Linked DNA regions of Caenorhabditis elegans. The protein of the gene in region 1 purifies or fractionates together with the protein of each later gene. This does not show direct contact. Each region holds a gene or a part of one and is shown on either strand. Other genes may lie near its edges.

The links. Proteins that work in one complex are often made in the same cells at the same time.
Region 2: the proteins of pgp-13 (region 1) and acs-4 fractionate together in Caenorhabditis elegans (co-fractionation; one large-scale study listed by BioGRID). This does not show direct contact.

What each region holds. Positions count from the first base shown.
Region 1 is NC_003284.9:12,736,110-12,745,947, reverse strand, and holds pgp-13 (P-GlycoProtein related), read right to left. Parts: upstream 7,195-9,838; 5' UTR 6,953-7,194; coding exon 6,896-6,952; intron 6,663-6,895; coding exon 6,532-6,662; intron 6,484-6,531; coding exon 6,429-6,483; intron 6,351-6,428; coding exon 6,253-6,350; intron 6,207-6,252; coding exon 6,080-6,206; intron 6,028-6,079; coding exon 5,894-6,027; intron 5,848-5,893; coding exon 5,676-5,847; intron 5,596-5,675; coding exon 4,346-5,595; intron 4,298-4,345; coding exon 4,056-4,297; intron 3,873-4,055; coding exon 3,670-3,872; intron 3,619-3,669; coding exon 3,256-3,618; intron 3,196-3,255; coding exon 2,954-3,195; intron 2,911-2,953; coding exon 2,214-2,910; intron 2,143-2,213; coding exon 1,942-2,142; 3' UTR 1,837-1,941; downstream 1-1,836. Other genes in the region: pgp-14 (P-glycoprotein 14), read left to right, coding at 1-687, 741-941; pgp-12 (P-GlycoProtein related), read right to left, coding at 8,644-8,844, 9,000-9,218, 9,265-9,742.
Region 2 is NC_003281.10:7,164,777-7,172,609, forward strand, and holds acs-4 (long-chain-fatty-acid--CoA ligase), read left to right. Parts: upstream 1-3,061; coding exon 3,062-3,115; intron 3,116-3,183; coding exon 3,184-3,330; intron 3,331-3,377; coding exon 3,378-3,467; intron 3,468-3,544; coding exon 3,545-4,324; intron 4,325-4,373; coding exon 4,374-5,331; intron 5,332-5,410; coding exon 5,411-5,577; 3' UTR 5,578-6,214; downstream 6,215-7,833. Other genes in the region: K04G7.1 (Integrase zinc-binding domain-containing protein), read left to right, coding at 1-63.

The DNA of each region.
Region 1 (9,838 bases):
GCAATGATGTTGGGTGCCGTTGCAGTCATGAATTCGGCACAATACTTCCCAGAATTTGTAAAGGCTAAAACTGCAGCTGGAATGTTGTTCAACATTATCTACAGAAAACCTAGAACAGGAGACTTAATGGAAGGAGATCGCCCTGAAATTAGAGGAAACATTCTCTTTGAAAATGTCAAATTCTCGTATCCACAACGACCATTGCAACCAATTATGAAAGGACTTCAATGGACAGCACTTCGCGGACAAACTGTTGCTCTTGTCGGGCCATCCGGATCCGGTAAAAGTACGAACATTGGTATGCTCGAACGATTCTACGATGTTACTGGCGGAGCACTTCGAATTGATGGACAAGACATTCGAAAATTGTCACTGTTCCATCTCAGAACACAAATGGCGCTGGTCGGCCAAGAGCCTCGTCTTTTCGCAGGAACCATCCGCGAGAACGTGTGCCTTGGGTTGAAGGATGTGCCACTTGAAAAGATCAATCAAGCCTTAGAACTTGCCAATGCTAACAGATTCCTTGCCAACTTGCCAGCCGGAATTGACACAGATGTAGGAGAAAAAGGAGGACAATTGTCGGGAGGTCAGAAACAGAGAATTGCAATTGCCAGAGCTTTGGTCCGAGACCCCAAAATTCTGCTTCTGGATGAAGCCACGTCAGCTTTGGATTCGGAATCCGAAAGGGTATGTTGAAAATGAAACGCTATCTCTTAATAATTATGATCGTTTTCTTTCAGGCTGTACAAGAGGCATTAGATCGTGCCCGAGAAGGTCGTACGTGTATCACAATTGCCCATCGTTTGTCGTCCATTCAGAACTCTGACCTTATTGTGTACATCGATAAGGGCAAGGTGCAGGAAGCTGGCAACCACACGCAGTTGATGCATCAAAAGGGCAGATACTACAAGCTCATCAAGAAACAAGATCTTGCTGTTTAACTCTGCAAATTGCCTTTCAATTCCGAATTATCCTGTAAATTTTGATCACTTCCACACTCTTACCAGTAATTACTTGTTCCCTTTGAAACTGTTTTTATTGTGACTTTTCATTGCTTTGTTTTCACATTTCTCAAAAAATTTTTCCGTCATTTAGAAAACTGTTCCCACGTTGTTTTGAAGCAGTTTTTCTATTAACCGGGTCTGTTCACATTGCTACTTTTATTTTCAGTAGGTACTCATTAGCTAGTCGCTTTTTCAATTTTCGAATAAAAAAATGTAAGAATTGAAAGTGCACTGTGTTATTTACAACAGAAGAAAATTACAGTTGGCGCAATTAGCTCCCACACACACACACTTATGGGGTTGTTTATTACGGGACCATGAGATCATGAGAATGCCTACTTTTCATGGTCCCGTAATATGTGATGTTGAAATTTACAAAAATGTATTTTAATACATTTTCCCCTAGTCATGTCTGTAGAAAAATGTAAAAAATACATCGATTTTTCTATTTTTCTACATTTTTCGACACATTTTCTGTATTTTTCGACATCGGCTGCCAAGTTGGCAGTGTCAACCCACTTCTCATGCTGAAAGGCGCAAAGAGAAGTGTCCTCGCAGGGTGGTACAAAAAAGTCAACAAATGCGATCTAGAAAATTAGGCAAAATTCGAGATTTCAGCTAAAATCGGTATAATTTTTTCAAAATTTTGACCCGTCATGAAAAATTTTTGAGAAGCTTCATTACGAAAAAAAAAACGCTCATTTGAGCTCATTTTGGGTCTATGTGTTCAAAATCGTCCGAACCGTTAGTCCTTAAACTCACAAACTATCACTTAATTTCATAGTGATTTCTGTATTTTTAAATTGCAAATTTTGAATTGAAGTGTTAAAAGAAAGGTTTTATTAAAATCTCAACAATAATCTCAATTTGGTCATCTACCCGCAGAGGCATAATCTCATTAACAAGGATACAAATAAAACAGATTTTGAAATTAAACTTATATTGCAAGATCTTGTTTTTTAATCAATTCAAAATATTTTCCTTTCAACTGCATCAGTTCTTTGTGAGTACCAGATTCTTGAACTCGGCCATCATCAATATACACAATCAAATCGGAATTTTGAATAGATGAGAGGCGGTGAGCAATTGTAATGCAGGTACGCCCTTCTCGGGCACGATCCAATGCTTCTTGCACAGCCTGAAAAAACAAATCATGTTCATTATCTGTATCCATAACACTACATCTCAAAAGCCTTGTAAAAAACTTACCCTTTCTGATTCTGAATCCAAAGCCGATGTGGCTTCATCGAGAAGCAAAATTTTCGGGTCTCTGACTAAAGCTCTAGCAATCGCAATTCTTTGCTTCTGACCTCCAGATAGTTGGCCACCTCTTTCTCCAACTTCGGTGTCTATGCCATCGGGTAAGTTGCCAAGAAAACGGTTTGCGTTTGCTAGCTCTAGCGCCTGATTTATTTTCTCAAGTGGCACGTCTTTCAGTCCAAGACACACATTTTCTCTTATCGTTCCCACAAATAGTCTGGGTTCTTGTCCAACTAACGCCATTTGAGTTCTAAGATGGTACAAACTGATGTTCTTTATGTCTTGCCCATCCATTCTTAATGCACCACCCGTGACGTCGTAAAATCTTTCGAGCATTCCAATGCATGTGCTTTTGCCTGAGCCCGATGGGCCAACTAGAGCTACAGTTTGTCCACGTAGAGCAGTCCATTGCAGTTGTTTCATAACTGGCTGATGTGGTCTTTGTGGATACGAAAACTTGACGTTTTCGAATAATATATTTCCGCGAATTTCTGGTTTGGTACCGCTCTTGAGATCTCCTGTCTGAGGTTGCCGGTTAATCAAGTTAAACATCTGTCCTGCTGCAGACTTGGCACCAACAAATTGCGGGAAGAATTGAGCAGACATGATAATTCCCTCGCAACACAGCATCATCGCCATGAGACATCTAGGTACAAATAATGTTTAAATTCTTAGAGAAAGTGACTAACCTGAACGTCTTATCAACTGTTTGATCTCCTTGATTGATGATTCTGATTGCTAATGCAAAACAGAAGCAAGACATGTAGTACATAAAATTTTGAGAAATGCAGTAGTTGACAGCTTCGTATACAGACTTTCGGAGTTCAGTCCGTTTTCGCTTTTTTGATTCGTTTTCGTAGCTGTTTAAGAATCTTCTTGTCCGTGTTAATAGTTGGATAGTTTTCACATTTTCAATAATTTCAATGGCAATCTGAAAATAGAAATCAATTAAAAAATATTTTTAGAATAACTATATTTTCTTGGCAAGTACCTTTCCTGCGTCATCGTTCTCCATATGCTCAGCAGCTACGATTGAAATTTTGAATGCCAATCCAGCCATAATGAATCCCAACAAGAAAATTAGAGCGGTTCCAAGAATCGCAACTTGCCAACAATTGATAAATCCAATTGTCACGCAAGCAATGACAGCGGCAGTTGCGTAAACAACTTGCATCATTCTACCGTCTACAACAGCTTTTACACAAGGAGGATCTGCTGCTAATCTTGTGATAAGACTTCCAGGAGCGTGCGCCGGATTGTCAAAATATGCTGCATCCTGATAAAGAAGATTTCGAAAAGCAGCAACCCGGAACCGTACTCCTAAGTTTTCCGAGACAATTGCAAACATAACAGTCTGAAATCCATTTGTAATTTTGAATGTTTATATTTTTCGAGTTAGACTTACACTAAGCGTTTGGAAAAACCAGATACCCAATCCGGCTGCACAATGAGCTATTACAGACATTGCTAATCGATGCATCATTTTTCCGCCGTAGGGAACAAATTCAAATCCTTCAAAAACCCAAGCAAACAGCAATGCAAAGGTAGGAAGATCGAGCCCTCTGATCAAAGCAGCTGATAGGCCAATTAGCATGTAAGTGTAGTTTCCTGAAAATATGTATAGGATTGTAAGTATTTGAGATTTAATAGTTTTAATTCAAGATTTCAAAGATGTTATTTTAATTGAAAATTTTAAAAATTGTTTGATCAGACATATAATGCAAAAATATAATGCAAATTTTCCGTTTTGAAGTGCTTTAATTCGAACTTTAATAATAGTTGTCTCACTACCTTGAGCATTTTTGAAAATATCCAAGAATCCAGCAGTGATTTCTCCGTCTTTTTCCATGGTCTCTTTGACTCGCAAAGCAAATGCTTCATCTTCTGCCGACGGTATATGAGATGCCTTTCGAAATCTATCAAACGAATGGTTGGCAAGAGATCCTCGACGAAACTCTTCGGACCCCGAGCGTCCAGAACTTCTTGAATTTCTAACCGAAACTTTCCTGTTGAACACAGTTGGCTTATCAAATCTGAAATGATTTAGCTTTTGATTTTCAAAGTTCTATTTTTCAACTAACTCATCAAATTGATCTTCTTCTTCTTTTTCCAAAGCAATCTCGTCCGGATCTTGCTTGAAGGCTTGGGCTTTCACGAGGTCAAAATACCTTCCTCCAAGATTCACTAACTCTTCATGATTTCCAGCTTCAACAATGACTCCTTTTTCGAAAAATACAATTTTATCAGCTTCACGAATTGTTGATAGTCGATGAGCTATCATAATAGTTGTTCTTCCTTTGGATGCATTGTTTAGTGCTGACTGAACAACACTCTCACTTTGAGCATCGAGTGCAGACGTTGCTTCATCTAGTAGGAGCACTTTCGGGTCACGAATAAGAGTTCTGGCAATAGCAACACGTTGCTTTTGTCCTCCAGAAAGTTGAACGCCTCCATCACCAATTTGTGTGTCGTATCCTTTTGGCATTTTTTTGATGAAGTCATGCGCATTTGCCATTTTACAAACTCGAATCATTGTCTCACGAGTGGCATCTGGATTTCCAAAAAGCAAGTTGTTGTGAATAGTATCGTTGAAAAGAATAGGCTCCTGCTGCACAATACCCACAACATTCCGAAGCCACTCCAAATTTAAGTCCCTGACGTCAACTCCATCGATTTGTACGCTGCCTTGTTCGGGTTCGTATAGTCTGGTCAAAAGACCAACGGAAGTAGATTTTCCACATCCCGAGTGGCCAACCAAAGCTACAGACGTTCCTGGTTCAACTGTCAAGTTGAGACCATTGAGAACCTTCGCTTCTTTTCTCGTTGGATATCTAAAGTGCACATTTTCAAATGTCACCTTACCAACAACCTTCTCAATTTTCTTTCCATGCCTTGAGTATGGATCAATTTTTGGGACTCGGTCAATAGTTTTATATATAGATGCAGCTGCAACTCTAGCGTTAAGCAAAACCATCAAATGGGGAGATATTAATCCAAGAAAATAGGCTCCGAGTAACATGGCCACCACAATAATGAATACATCACCAGGAGACTTGATGATTCCGACTTTGAGTAGGTAACCTCCATATAGAATTCCACATCCCATGAAAGCCATCAACCAGAAGAAGAAAATGCCTCCGAAAAATCCACTCCAAAATCCTCCCCAAATTGCATGCTTCTTTCCAGAATTCAATTGTTTCTCGTATTTTGCAACCATTTCTTCTTGACCATTAAATGCCTGAATAGTTCGTACACCCATCAAACATTCTTCTGCAATTGCTCCGGCTTCACCAACTTTCTCCAATTCCTCCCCAGTGCTCTTTTCCAAGAACTATAAAACTTTAATTGTTATTTTCAAATTGAGGGTTTGAGATAGTTTGGTGTGAAACAAGGTGATAAAAATGAACATACCCTTGATAAAAGTGTCATGCAGATTGTGGAGACGGGAATCAGACCTAACATCATAAGAGCAAGTCTCCATTCATAAATCAAAGAAATAACGACTGATGCAATAACCATTGAGATCCCTCTAATCAGAACACCAAGTTTATCACCAACACCATCTTGAATCCGTTCCATATTACTTAAACATAAATTGAAATTATTACATACAGTAAAAATTGACTTACTCGTTGAGTCTCGTCGTGATTGTTCCGGATAGGTTTTTATCAAACCACCCTGCATTTTGTCTTAAAATCGAGGAGATATAGCGATTTCTCATTACAGTCATCATACGACTGCAAACTCTTTGAAAACACATATACTGAAATTTGGTCAGGTGAAAAAAGTTAACCCTGTTATAATGAATTTCCTACCTGGCAAAAGTCATTAATTGAAACGAAGATTCCAAGTCCTAAGAAGATGTATACATTTTCCATCGTTTTGGTTTTAAATTCTTTACTCAAAGGATCAATGACTAGCAACACATTTGTCATTCGACCCCTAAAATTCGGAATACAGGAAAACTTCAAAAACTGCAACAACTTACGAGATAATTGCAAGAACTGGTTGAGAGACACCAGAAATGACTGAAGTGATTAGTCCAATCAATAGAAGTATGTAGTCAAACGTCGTGGCAAAGCGGAACTTAAATCAAAAATTTAAAACATTAACATTGTTTTTTTCAACTTGATAAAAATATAAAAATACATTTAAAAAAATTACCAATTGCAGTAGCGAAACTGGTTGGAATTCCAATACTTGTTCAGAAAGGTCACACCTGCAATTATCAATTTTAAAACATTTTTAGGTAAATCAAAAAAAATACCTGCAGAGTAAAAAGTTAACGAATTTTTCAAATACAGATGGATAGTATTCCACTTTCTTATCATTGTCGTCATCGTTGTATGATGAATCGGAGAAGCTCGTAGCAGATATTTTCTCATCGAAATCAATTTTCTGAAAAAAAAGGAATGTAATTTCAGAAAATTGAAACTTTTTTTAAATACTCTCACAAATAATCAATTCAGTTTTATTTTTGTTCCAATTGTATACTATTTTGAAAATACAACACAAAAATCATATTTGATTGTGTTGTATTTTCAAATATCTTTATAAAGAGCAAATAGTTTTCAATTTCCCAACATCTTAGAGGATCATGGAAAAACGTAACTTTAAGAAATGATTCCTACCGTTCTCAAACTAGATAGATTCTTTCCAGAACCATCCGTGTTTTCTTGTGGTGGCATCAGCGGTTCGTTTTATACAATTGTGATAATAGCGCTCGAAATAATAATCAGCAGTAGGAAACAAAAAATGAGCACAAAATGAACTCTCTTCCATTGCCATCCAACTATTTAAGTACACGGAAAAAACATACAGGAAACTATTTATTCACTCTTTCGTGTTTTCCAGCTATACACATAAAATCAAAAAGCGTGTTTTGTGTGGGTCGAGAGCAACAGTTCAAACAGTCACGTGAAGAAACGAGGAGAGAGCAGAGTATTCCGTCTTACATCGTACAAACTACGGTTTGAAAAGGCGGCGCCTAAGTTCTGAGGTAACTTTTCACAACATTCTGAAAACGCATAAACTGTTTTTTTGGTTCTCTTGTGTAACGATCAGTTTAAAACAAAACATAATTTTGGCGTGATGTAAGAGGGTAACTACAGAAATTAATGACACTGAAAAAGTGTCTAGTTATAATTTTTACTAGTGATTGTGCAATTTTTTGTGTCGATGTCCAGCATTTCTGATAATTTGTTGGATAAACAATGTGACACTACAAAAAATCAAGCGACATTTCAGGTGTTCAAAATGTCTTACAATCCCTTAAAAGTTCTCTGAAACAGCCACTTACCCTCATTGTGCATCTCCACATTTAAAAACGGCATCACCATCGCCTATAATTTACATACCTTTTTTTAAATCTCGATACCCGATTTTTCAGGATATAAGCTTCTAAAACTAAACATTTGGCACAAACTCTAGTGAGCGATTGGAAAACAAATATAACACTTCTTCAAATTAATTTTTTTGTTGTTATTTTTATCTCTTTGGGACAACTCTAATTAACAAGTTTTAGAAAGTTTACAAACAAACTTTCAGCACAGTTTTCTACAGAACTGGCAACAATTGCATGTAAATCTATTCAAATGATGTTAGCACAAATACTAGTGTTCGCATCTGTCTAAAAATGTTTTGCAAATCATCAAAAAAACAAACTGCAAACTTTGATTTTACAAGGTTCGGAACAGGAATGAACAAGAATTGTTCAATGCATCTGATCTCATTTTTAAATGGGATATAAACTTCAAGATATAAAATTGCATTGGCTTGACTCTTTTGTAAAAATCATTTGATTAACCCATAGAACTTTTAAAAACATTTTCAGCGTTCATCAAATTTTTGAGTACTAGCACAAAACTATTGGAACGAAATTTTGAAAGAAATGACACAGCTGACTTGAATTCTGAGTTTCAGAAATTTATCCGAATTACAGAGTTACTTTACTTTATTCCCTCTACCTGTTTTTTTCAGATTTATGAATAAGTTTGCTTCCTCACTGTACCGTAACTAGCTGTGAAGAAAACAAAACAGATAAAATATAATGAAACTAACGATTATTGTCTCCATTTACGTTAGTTATCTTGGTATTTTGAAGAACAGCAGCTTCAAAAAGTTGTTTTCCATGCCGAGTGAGTTGTAGCGTAGTGTTACGTTATTATTTATTCATTTTATTTACAGAATAGTATTTTCAGACCTCTCGGATTTCTTTCATAATATATGGTCACAAGTGGAAATTGGAATTATATTGAACATTTATTATTTGTGATTTCGATTAAATATGTGTATAACATCAGAAAGTATATATAAAACTGATTTAAAAAAATAACAAAACCCGCACAAAAAGCAACAACGTCTATCAACGTAATTAATATCACGTGGTAAGATCTTGCTTTTTGATAAGATTGTAGTATTTTCCTCTCAGTGACATAAGGTGAGCATGGTTTCCAGCTTCTTGTACCATGCCATGATCAATGTAAACAATGAGGTCGGAGTTCTGAATAGACGACAAGCGATGGGCAATTGTGATGCAAGTACGACCTTCACGAGCACGATCCAGCGCTTCTTGTACGGCCTGGAAAACAAATTTTCAAATTTTTTTTCATTTTTCAAAACAGTGTTTCTATTATTTAAAATCGGCTTTTTAAATGGTATGCTTTTCAAACCAAGGAAAAGTAGAATTGTTGTCTGTTTTCCGGCTAAACGTTTGCCTTAATTTTTCCCCCTCACCCTTTCAGATTCCGAATCCAATGCGGAAGTGGCTTCATCTAGCAGCAAAATCTTAGGATCTCTGACCAATGCTCTGGCAATTGCGATTCTCTGCTTTTGTCCTCCCGACAATTGTCCTCCTTTCTCTCCAACTTCTGTATCAATGCCTGCTGGCAAGTTTGCAAGGAACCGGGAAGCATTTGCGAGTTCCAAAGCTTGATGGACTTTTTCAACAGAGACCTGGAAAAAAAGCATACTATGAGGAATTATCGATGCTGAAACTTACATCTTTTAGCCCAAAACACACGTTTTCTTTAATAGTTCCTGCAAACAAACGGGGCTCCTGGCCAACTAATGCCATTTGTGTTCGAAGATGGTGAAGGGAGAGTGATTTGATATTCTGTCCATCGATTCTCAGTGCTCCACCGGAAACATCATAAAATCGTTCAAGCATGGCAATACAAGTACTTTTTCCAGTGCCTGATGGGCCAACTAAGGCAACAGTTTGGCCACTGTGGGCCGAAAAATGAAGGTCCGTCATAACAGGTTGCATTGGTCGTTGTGGGTATGAAAATTTGACCGACTCAAAAAGAACATTCCCACGAATTTCAGTATTATTTCCTTCCATCACGTCTCCGGTTTTTGATTTTCGATAGATCAACTTAAATAGCATTCCAGCGGCAGTTTTCGCTTTCACGAACTCTGGGAAGTTATGAGATGAATGCATCACAGCAACGGACCCCATCATCATGCAATTAATAGCTCTGAAAATGGTGATGGTTGTGATTACACTTTTAAAATTTATTATGTGTTTAAACGTTTTCGATATTTACCTAACTATTTTGTATGCATCTTGAAAC
Region 2 (7,833 bases), on another chromosome or scaffold:
TACGAGGAAGTAGAGGAAGAAGTGGTTCCGCAAAATCCCCGTCGGCACATTCGTCACCAGTAGAAGCTTACATGTTTCTTTATTGTTTGACAATATCTTAATAACTAAACTCACATACGATCTTTTTCCTTAATTATATCTGAAATTTTGTGACAGTTTTGTAATGAATCCTAAAAAGATTAAAACATGAAGTCATCCTTATCACAGAAGTTCAACTCAAAAAAGGATGTTATCTTTCTAAAAGTTTTAAAGGAATTTATTTCATTCATTACTGCTGTGAACAGGATCGTCTCGTTGATATTAGCATTACGTGAACTTTTCCTCAACACATCAATATGAAATCGATGCGTAAAAAATTGAACTTAATGTTTTTTTGAATTATTCCTAACTCGTATCGAGCTAGTCTACACTATTCTCTAACAAAAACTTCTGTTTGGACTTGGCTTTGCTTTATTTTCGTTAAGGATACTCAATTTCGACAACACGAGAGATACAACGGTACTAGTTTGAAAACTTGAAGATTTGTTTCACTTACTGGCAAGGCAAGCTATTATGTATACAAAAGGGTTAGTCTGATTGTTTAAAAAGGTTTTTCTATCAAAGAAAGTGAAAAGAAAAGATTTGAAACAAAAATTCGATAAAACAGATCGAATTATATTGGAGTTACGGTTCACAAACCGTACCCCTGTGCATTTTATCGTGAACGTGTTTACGGACCACTTTTGCCGCCAATAATTTTCAGACACTTTTTTTGCAAAAACAATTCATTTTCGTCTTAATTTGACGGTTTTTCTTTATTTTCGGCTTCCGTTTTTGAGTTTTCTGCATAATTAACGTTTTTAAAGGTGTTTTACTGATGCAAATACTCTCGAATCTCTGAAATTTCTAGTGGGTTCAAATTTTAGGATCTCCTTTGTTATAACATATTATAATATATTCTGGCGTCGTAACATTTTTCTTCAGTCTTTAAACGTTCAGAAATAATTCTAAAATTGAATCAAGAATGTTTTTGTTATTTATGTTGACTTTTCCTCTTCCAAAAATCACGCCATGCACTGACTCACTCTTTCACAATTCCATCGGTCGTCTAGTAAACGTGTAAAACGAACATATGATTGCGAAACACTATTTCTGTTTTCCGTGGGTCTCCCTCTTTCCATGCCTAGCAGAATTCAAATTACGCGGGCAATGTGGCCTGTGTTGTCTGCGTTTTCTAATGTGCATCTTCACGAATCATGCTTTCAAATTCATTTTGTGCTCTTTCTTTGTACGATGCTCCGTCATTTTGTGCTCTTTTATCAATAACATAATCAAGTGTTAAGAAGATGAACTGATTAAGTGAAAGTTGTATGACGACTGTAGACAAACCCGTCGTTTACGTTGCAGAAATGAGTTATTTTACTTGTCGAAATGATTCTGAATTCAGTTTTACATAACCGAGTTCAACACGTTGTTGATGAGATATTATTTACTCTACTTTTTGTATGATATTACCCCATTTCAATCAATACACTGTCCTAATCCCTCCACCAAGAGTACCCTGTCACCCAATACGCAACCACAGGGTTTCAGTCGCGTATCTCCTCGGTGGCGTGTAATTAGATTTAAAACGGCTGACGAATATCTTGACAATATGAATAATTCTAGTATTTCTCTAACTGTTTCCATTTAGATTGAATGTCCAACTATTATAGATGATTTTCTAGGAAAACCGCGTTCTCAAAATTTAATTTCCTTTTTCTACAGCCCATCCTTATGATTCATCACAAAAAATAGTTTTCCCAGACGTTCATTTTAACATTTTCTCGCTGTTGTTTTTTTTCTGATTTAGGCAAGCATTTCTGAAAATAAGGCTTACTTAACATTTAAATGTATAAACTTATGTAACTCGAATGTAACAATTATTCTTAAAGCTTGTTGGTCCTCTTGAGGTCAAAAGTGGTGCCATATCCGAATCTCGCGCCATGTTCTGAGTTGCTTTCTCTGTTTTGTCTCTACTCGTGTGCGCAGAAAGACCTCCGCTTCCAACTCAGCGTTCATCTATGCATTCCTAGCATTGTCTGCGTCTCACGACTGCGCGGAATAGATGGGGAGTGAGGGGAGCCGCTCCTATGTTTAAAAAAACTGAGAGAACAGAGTGGAAGAAGAGGGAGGAAGAGGAAAAGAATACGGGCGTGTGCAGTTTTCCTCCTCTTTCTCTTTTCCTGTGAAGAACTGCGATGTTGCCACGCAGAATGTAGAAGGAGACGTCATTTGTTTCGGACAGTTCTTTTTTCCATTCGAAATTTTTACGGTGAAAATTGTGAACACGATACATCTTCCGCATGTTCTTAATTGTTACCGCGAACGACATTTCACTGATTTGATAACGCAAAACACCTGATAATGATATTATTTTTACTGATGCTGATAAGACGAGGAATTGTTTTCGTCCAGAGATTGAAGGCTGTTAACTTTACAACAATAACTGTCTAAGACTTTTTTTTTTAATTTTAACATTTTACAATAATCAAACTACGATTTAAAACTCGTGGTGACTTTTCATGCCGGAATTATTTTGAGGTTTTTTCCTTATCAGCACGATTTTCCGTTTTCCCTTTTTTCTGCTTTTGCAGTCCGAAACGAAACACCTCCAACTTTATAAAAATGATGCTATCAAGAGTTCCGTCAAAGACATAATGTAGTTTCCTCTTTTTCATCGGCAGCTAACCATAATAATGTTTAAAAAGAACGTCGCAAAAACTGCAACAATTATTGGACTTTTTGATGTAAGACAAATAGGCTGCACTCTGAACGGGAGAAGATGAGAAAAAAAATTGTCAAATATTTGCACAGAAATATATTTTCCCTTCTTGCATTATTCTCGCAATTCTCGTAATTTTTTGTCTAGCAATTTTGCTCATCGTGAATTAAAAATTGTTCTTTATGTTCCCAAAACTGTAGAAATGCTGCTTCTGTATACATATCATATTATATACATTCTCTATTCCATGCGTCACGGTCTTGTACATTCTTCCCATTTTTCTTTAGAATAATCTCTTCTAATTTTCGTTATTTACAGATGAAACGGAAAGTTTCGGTATACGATTCTTCAAAGGATAAGACACTCGGCCAGGTTCGTGTTTTTGTTTAGGACATTTTACGATTTTTTGTTTGAAAGTTTCCAACAAGTTCTATTTTCAGGTAGTGAAAGGTGAATCACCAATATGGATTCGTGTAGCTATGGCCATCCTTCGTGTGTGGTTTTTCATATACGATTGTCTCAACTACTTGCCATACCAGTTGTTCAATTCGCCAACGGAAAAGCTTCGGAAGTCGGAGCGAGTAAAGGTTTGTCAATACTTTTAATATTAATTTATCCGTATTATCTGTTTCAGGCAAATTGGGTTGACGATCGTGATGGACCAATCCGTAATATTCAAGGACATGCTTCAGAAACATTCCCAGGAAAAGACACAGTTGATAAGGTAGGCAAGTGTGCAAAGATCTGCATTGCAGAATTCGATAAAAGCTGAAGTAGCACATTTCATGCTTTAAATTTTAGGTTTGGAGAAAGTGCGTCGAACTCTACGATGAATCGCCATGTTTGGGAACTCGACAGCTTATTGAAGTTCACGAAGATAAACAACCTGGAGGCCGTGTGTTTGAGAAGTGGCATCTTGGAGAGTATGTGTGGCAGAGCTACAAAGAAGTTGAAACTCAAGTCGCCCGCCTCGCAGCCGGTATCAAGGATCTTGCCCATGAAGAACAAAATCCGAAAGTTGTTATCTTTGCTGAAACTCGTGCAGATTGGCTCATCACTGCTCTTGCCTGTTTCCGTGCCAACGTCACCATCGTAACTGTATACGCAACTTTGGGAGAAGACGCAATTGCTCATGCCATCGGAGAGACTGAAGCTACAATTCTTGTCACTTCTTCGGAACTTCTTCCAAAGATTGTAACGCTTGGAAAGAAATGTCCAACTCTGAAGACCCTGATTTATTTCGCTCCTGTGGACCAGAAAGCACCAGCACCAGAGCTTGCACCGTTCCGTGATCAGTTCAAACATGTTCTATCACTGAGCGGACTTCTTACTCGCAATCAGGAACAAGTTAAAGAATCTACAGCTGTGAAGTCAGACATTGCCCTCATCATGTACACTTCTGGCACAACTGGTCAGCCAAAAGGAGTTATTCTTCTTCATCAAAACGTTGTGGCTGCTTTGTTGGGACAAGGGGATGGTGTTGGAATCATATGCAATGCAGATACATACATTGGGTATCTTCCACTTGCTCATATTCTCGAATTGGATGCCGAATTGACATGTTTGACTAAAGGAGCCAAGGTAAGAATTTTTATTGGATTTAAAACTCATTTTACCCATTTATTTTAAGGTTGGATATTCTTCACCCTTGACACTTCACGACCGTGCATCAAAAATCCAAAAGGGAACACATGGAGATTGTCATGCCCTCCGCCCAACTCTTATGGCTGCTGTTCCAGCTATTATGGATCGAATTTTCAAGGCCGTCTCCGAAGAAGTTGCTGCATCACCTCGTTTCATGCAAGAATTGTTCAAACTTAATTATGAGAGAAAGAGATCCCGCTATTTGGAGGGTTACTGCAGTCCATTCCTTGATCGCATCGTATTCAAAAAGATTCGCAGACTTTTGGGAGGAAAACTTCGTGGTGTTTTGTCTGGTGGAGCCCCATTGAACGCTGAAACTCAAAGATTCATGAATATTTGTATGTGCTGCCCTGTTGTTCAAGGATACGGACTCACAGAAACTTGTGGAGCTGCTTGTGTTGCTGATATCAACGACTTGAGCACAGGAACCGTTGGTCCCCCAGTCAGATGCTCAGATATTGCTCTTCGTGAGTGGTCCGAAGGTGGATACTCACCATTCAATGATCCACCACAAGGAGAGATTCTTATTTCTGGAGAAAACATCTCACCTGGATATTATAAACAACCAGAAAAGACCGCTGAAGATTTCATCACCTATAAAGGAAAAGTGTACTTTGCCACTGGAGATATTGGACAGAAGCGTGATGATGGTTCTCTTCTCATTATTGACAGAAAGAAGGATTTGGTTAAATTGCAACACGGAGAATATGTTTCTCTCGCTAAAGTTGAATGTGCACTTCTCAATTGCCCAATTGTTGATAACATCTGCGTTTATGGAAGTGGAATGGAAGACAGTGTTGTTGCTCTTGTGGTTCCAAACCAGAAGCACTTGGAGAAGATTGCTGAAGCGGAAGGTGTATCAACTAGTGAAATGAAGACGATGTGTGAAGATAAGAAGGTCATTGCTGCCTACAAGAAACAACTCGAAGAACATGCCAAGAAAAGTTAGTTTTGAGAAATTATGAACGTTCTAATGTTTAAAATAATTAAATTGTGGTTCCCTAAAAATGTATATTGTTTCAGGCAAACTTTCCCGCTCTGAAATCCCAGCCGCGATTCATCTTTGCCCCGAGATTTGGACTCCTGACACTGGCCTTCTTACCGAAGCACTCAAGCTGAAGAGAAAGCCTATCCAAATGGCCTACCAGAAGACCCTCGATGATCTGTATAAGCAGCTCAAAAAGAATTGATTCATGTCTTCCTAGCTTTCTTTTTTTCTTTTCCCGCCCTTTTCACACTGGTAACTTGCTCTTCCCCACCTATTCGAGATACTCGATATTGGATTCCCATCTCTTTTGTATACTTCCCTCATTTATAGCAGCATAATCTGTTAGCTTTCATACCGGAAGCTTTAGGTTTCATTCCTATTCTGTAAAGATTCGTGTTTCATGCTACTCTTTCCCGTATTCTCCTTCCCTTTCCACCATCAAAGAGCTTTTCTAACTTGTTTTTCACACATCGTACCTATTCGTAACTTATTCTTTCTAGAGCCCCTGATTCCTTTTCCCCAAACATCCAAACGCTTTATATTTTGGTCGCCCCTGAAAATTAGGTAGATTGTTTTCAAAAATGAAAATGCTGACAACATTTTTGTTTTTCAATGAAATCCATCGAGATTTCAAGGGTGTTAAGATAGATTTTCAATTTTTACAAATTCATTCGATCAATAGTTTGTTTTTGCCAAATGGGTTGTTCCTTTCACACCGACACAGAAATACACACATTTTCCCCCATCTTTTTCTATTTATCTCGTCCCTTCTCCCCAAAACATCTATTTGATTCCATCCTTGTATTGTCACACACAGATGTGAAATAAAAAAGATTGATAAATGATCTTCTGTACTGAATCTACACACTAGTCGTTGATCGACCATCTTTCAACGTCATTGGTTCGAAGATGAGCGATTCCTGTGACGCCTAGAACAAGAATAGACAAAACAAAGAAGAAATCTTCATTTGAAGATCAATATATCTTTTTTGGAACATATACAACACTTACTATTCTATCGAGATATTTTGGTGGATTATTGATTGATGATCCAATAAATTTATCAGCTGCAAGAGGGGCTCTAATGACAGTTTGTTTTGAAATTGATTTTTCATTTTAATTGGAATAAATCATGCAGGTTAATTTCAAACGGAAGAGTAATTTTATATTACTTGTGAGCTTTAAACTTACTTTTTCAGGCGAGAGTTTTCACGTAGAAGTAGAAAATTGAAGAAGCCTTGATTGACTGGAATTTTTAGTCCTCATCTTTCCTTTATCTTTTAAACTGAAAATTTGATAATTATTGTACACATTTTTAATGTTGGGATAAAACCTTTAAAAAATAAAGGTAATGTTATGATTGGTAAATGGTAAATGTTATGAAAATGCCGTCTTCTTCCTTAGTTTTTGAAATTTCCCTCTTCATAACATTCCATAATCAGTGACTGCAAATATCAAAACCCACAATTTTAGAAAAACAGAAAATTTATTTTTTGAATTTCAATAATTTCCGAAATCAAATCTTTCACGTATGCATAAAAGTGCTTGCCTGTGTGCCTCCAAGGCAGGCATAACTTTTTGTGGCGCATATTGACCAGACAATTCAGATTCTGTGCGGTTTCTGATAGTCACATTTCAAATTAGCACTCTTTCTTGATTGAATATAAGAGTTACAGAATCATTTGCAGCACGGAGAACAAAAGATATGAGCAAATCAACAACTGAACCAGATTCATCTGGCTTTGAACTTCTTTCTAATTGTACTACGGTAAGTAACCCACTGCAAATATCCTTGAAATTAAACTATACAAGCACAAATGATTTCATTTCATCCAGTATATCGAGTTGCTCAAATCTATCAATTTTTGGTTGCCTGTTTCGCATTTCCCCCATTGTTTTATTTCATATTTTTCAAACTTATCAAATCGAGTTTTCACGGAAATCTGAAAGTAAGCAAATAGGTTACTTGGAAAAATAAGTTAATTAATGAACTTCAGTGTGTGTTAATTGGTTATTTTGTGACAGTTCTGGCATTTACAATCAATTTTCAAATTGTTGGGGTGAGTTTTACTTAATTTAACAATTGCCATCAGACTAATTTGAATTTCCGAAACTTTCAGTTCGTTCAAGTTCTGCTTCCATTCATTTCAAGAACACCTTGTGATTTGATAATCAATGGAAGATATTTGAAATACGGTCATCCAACTGGGTCATTTATTATGACTTTGTCTACACTTTTACCGATTTGCATTACAATTGAACGGTTTTTCGCAATGAAAAACGCAGAAACTTATGAAAAAACTCCAGTAAAGCTGGGCCCAATAATCACTTTTCTCTTAGTAAGTTTTTTTTTTTATTTGACTTTTACCAAAATAGAAAAATTGGGTACTTTACCCTCATTGTTTTTCTTCAAAAAACGGCTATTTTCAGATAATAATTGATTTAACTACGGTTTCCA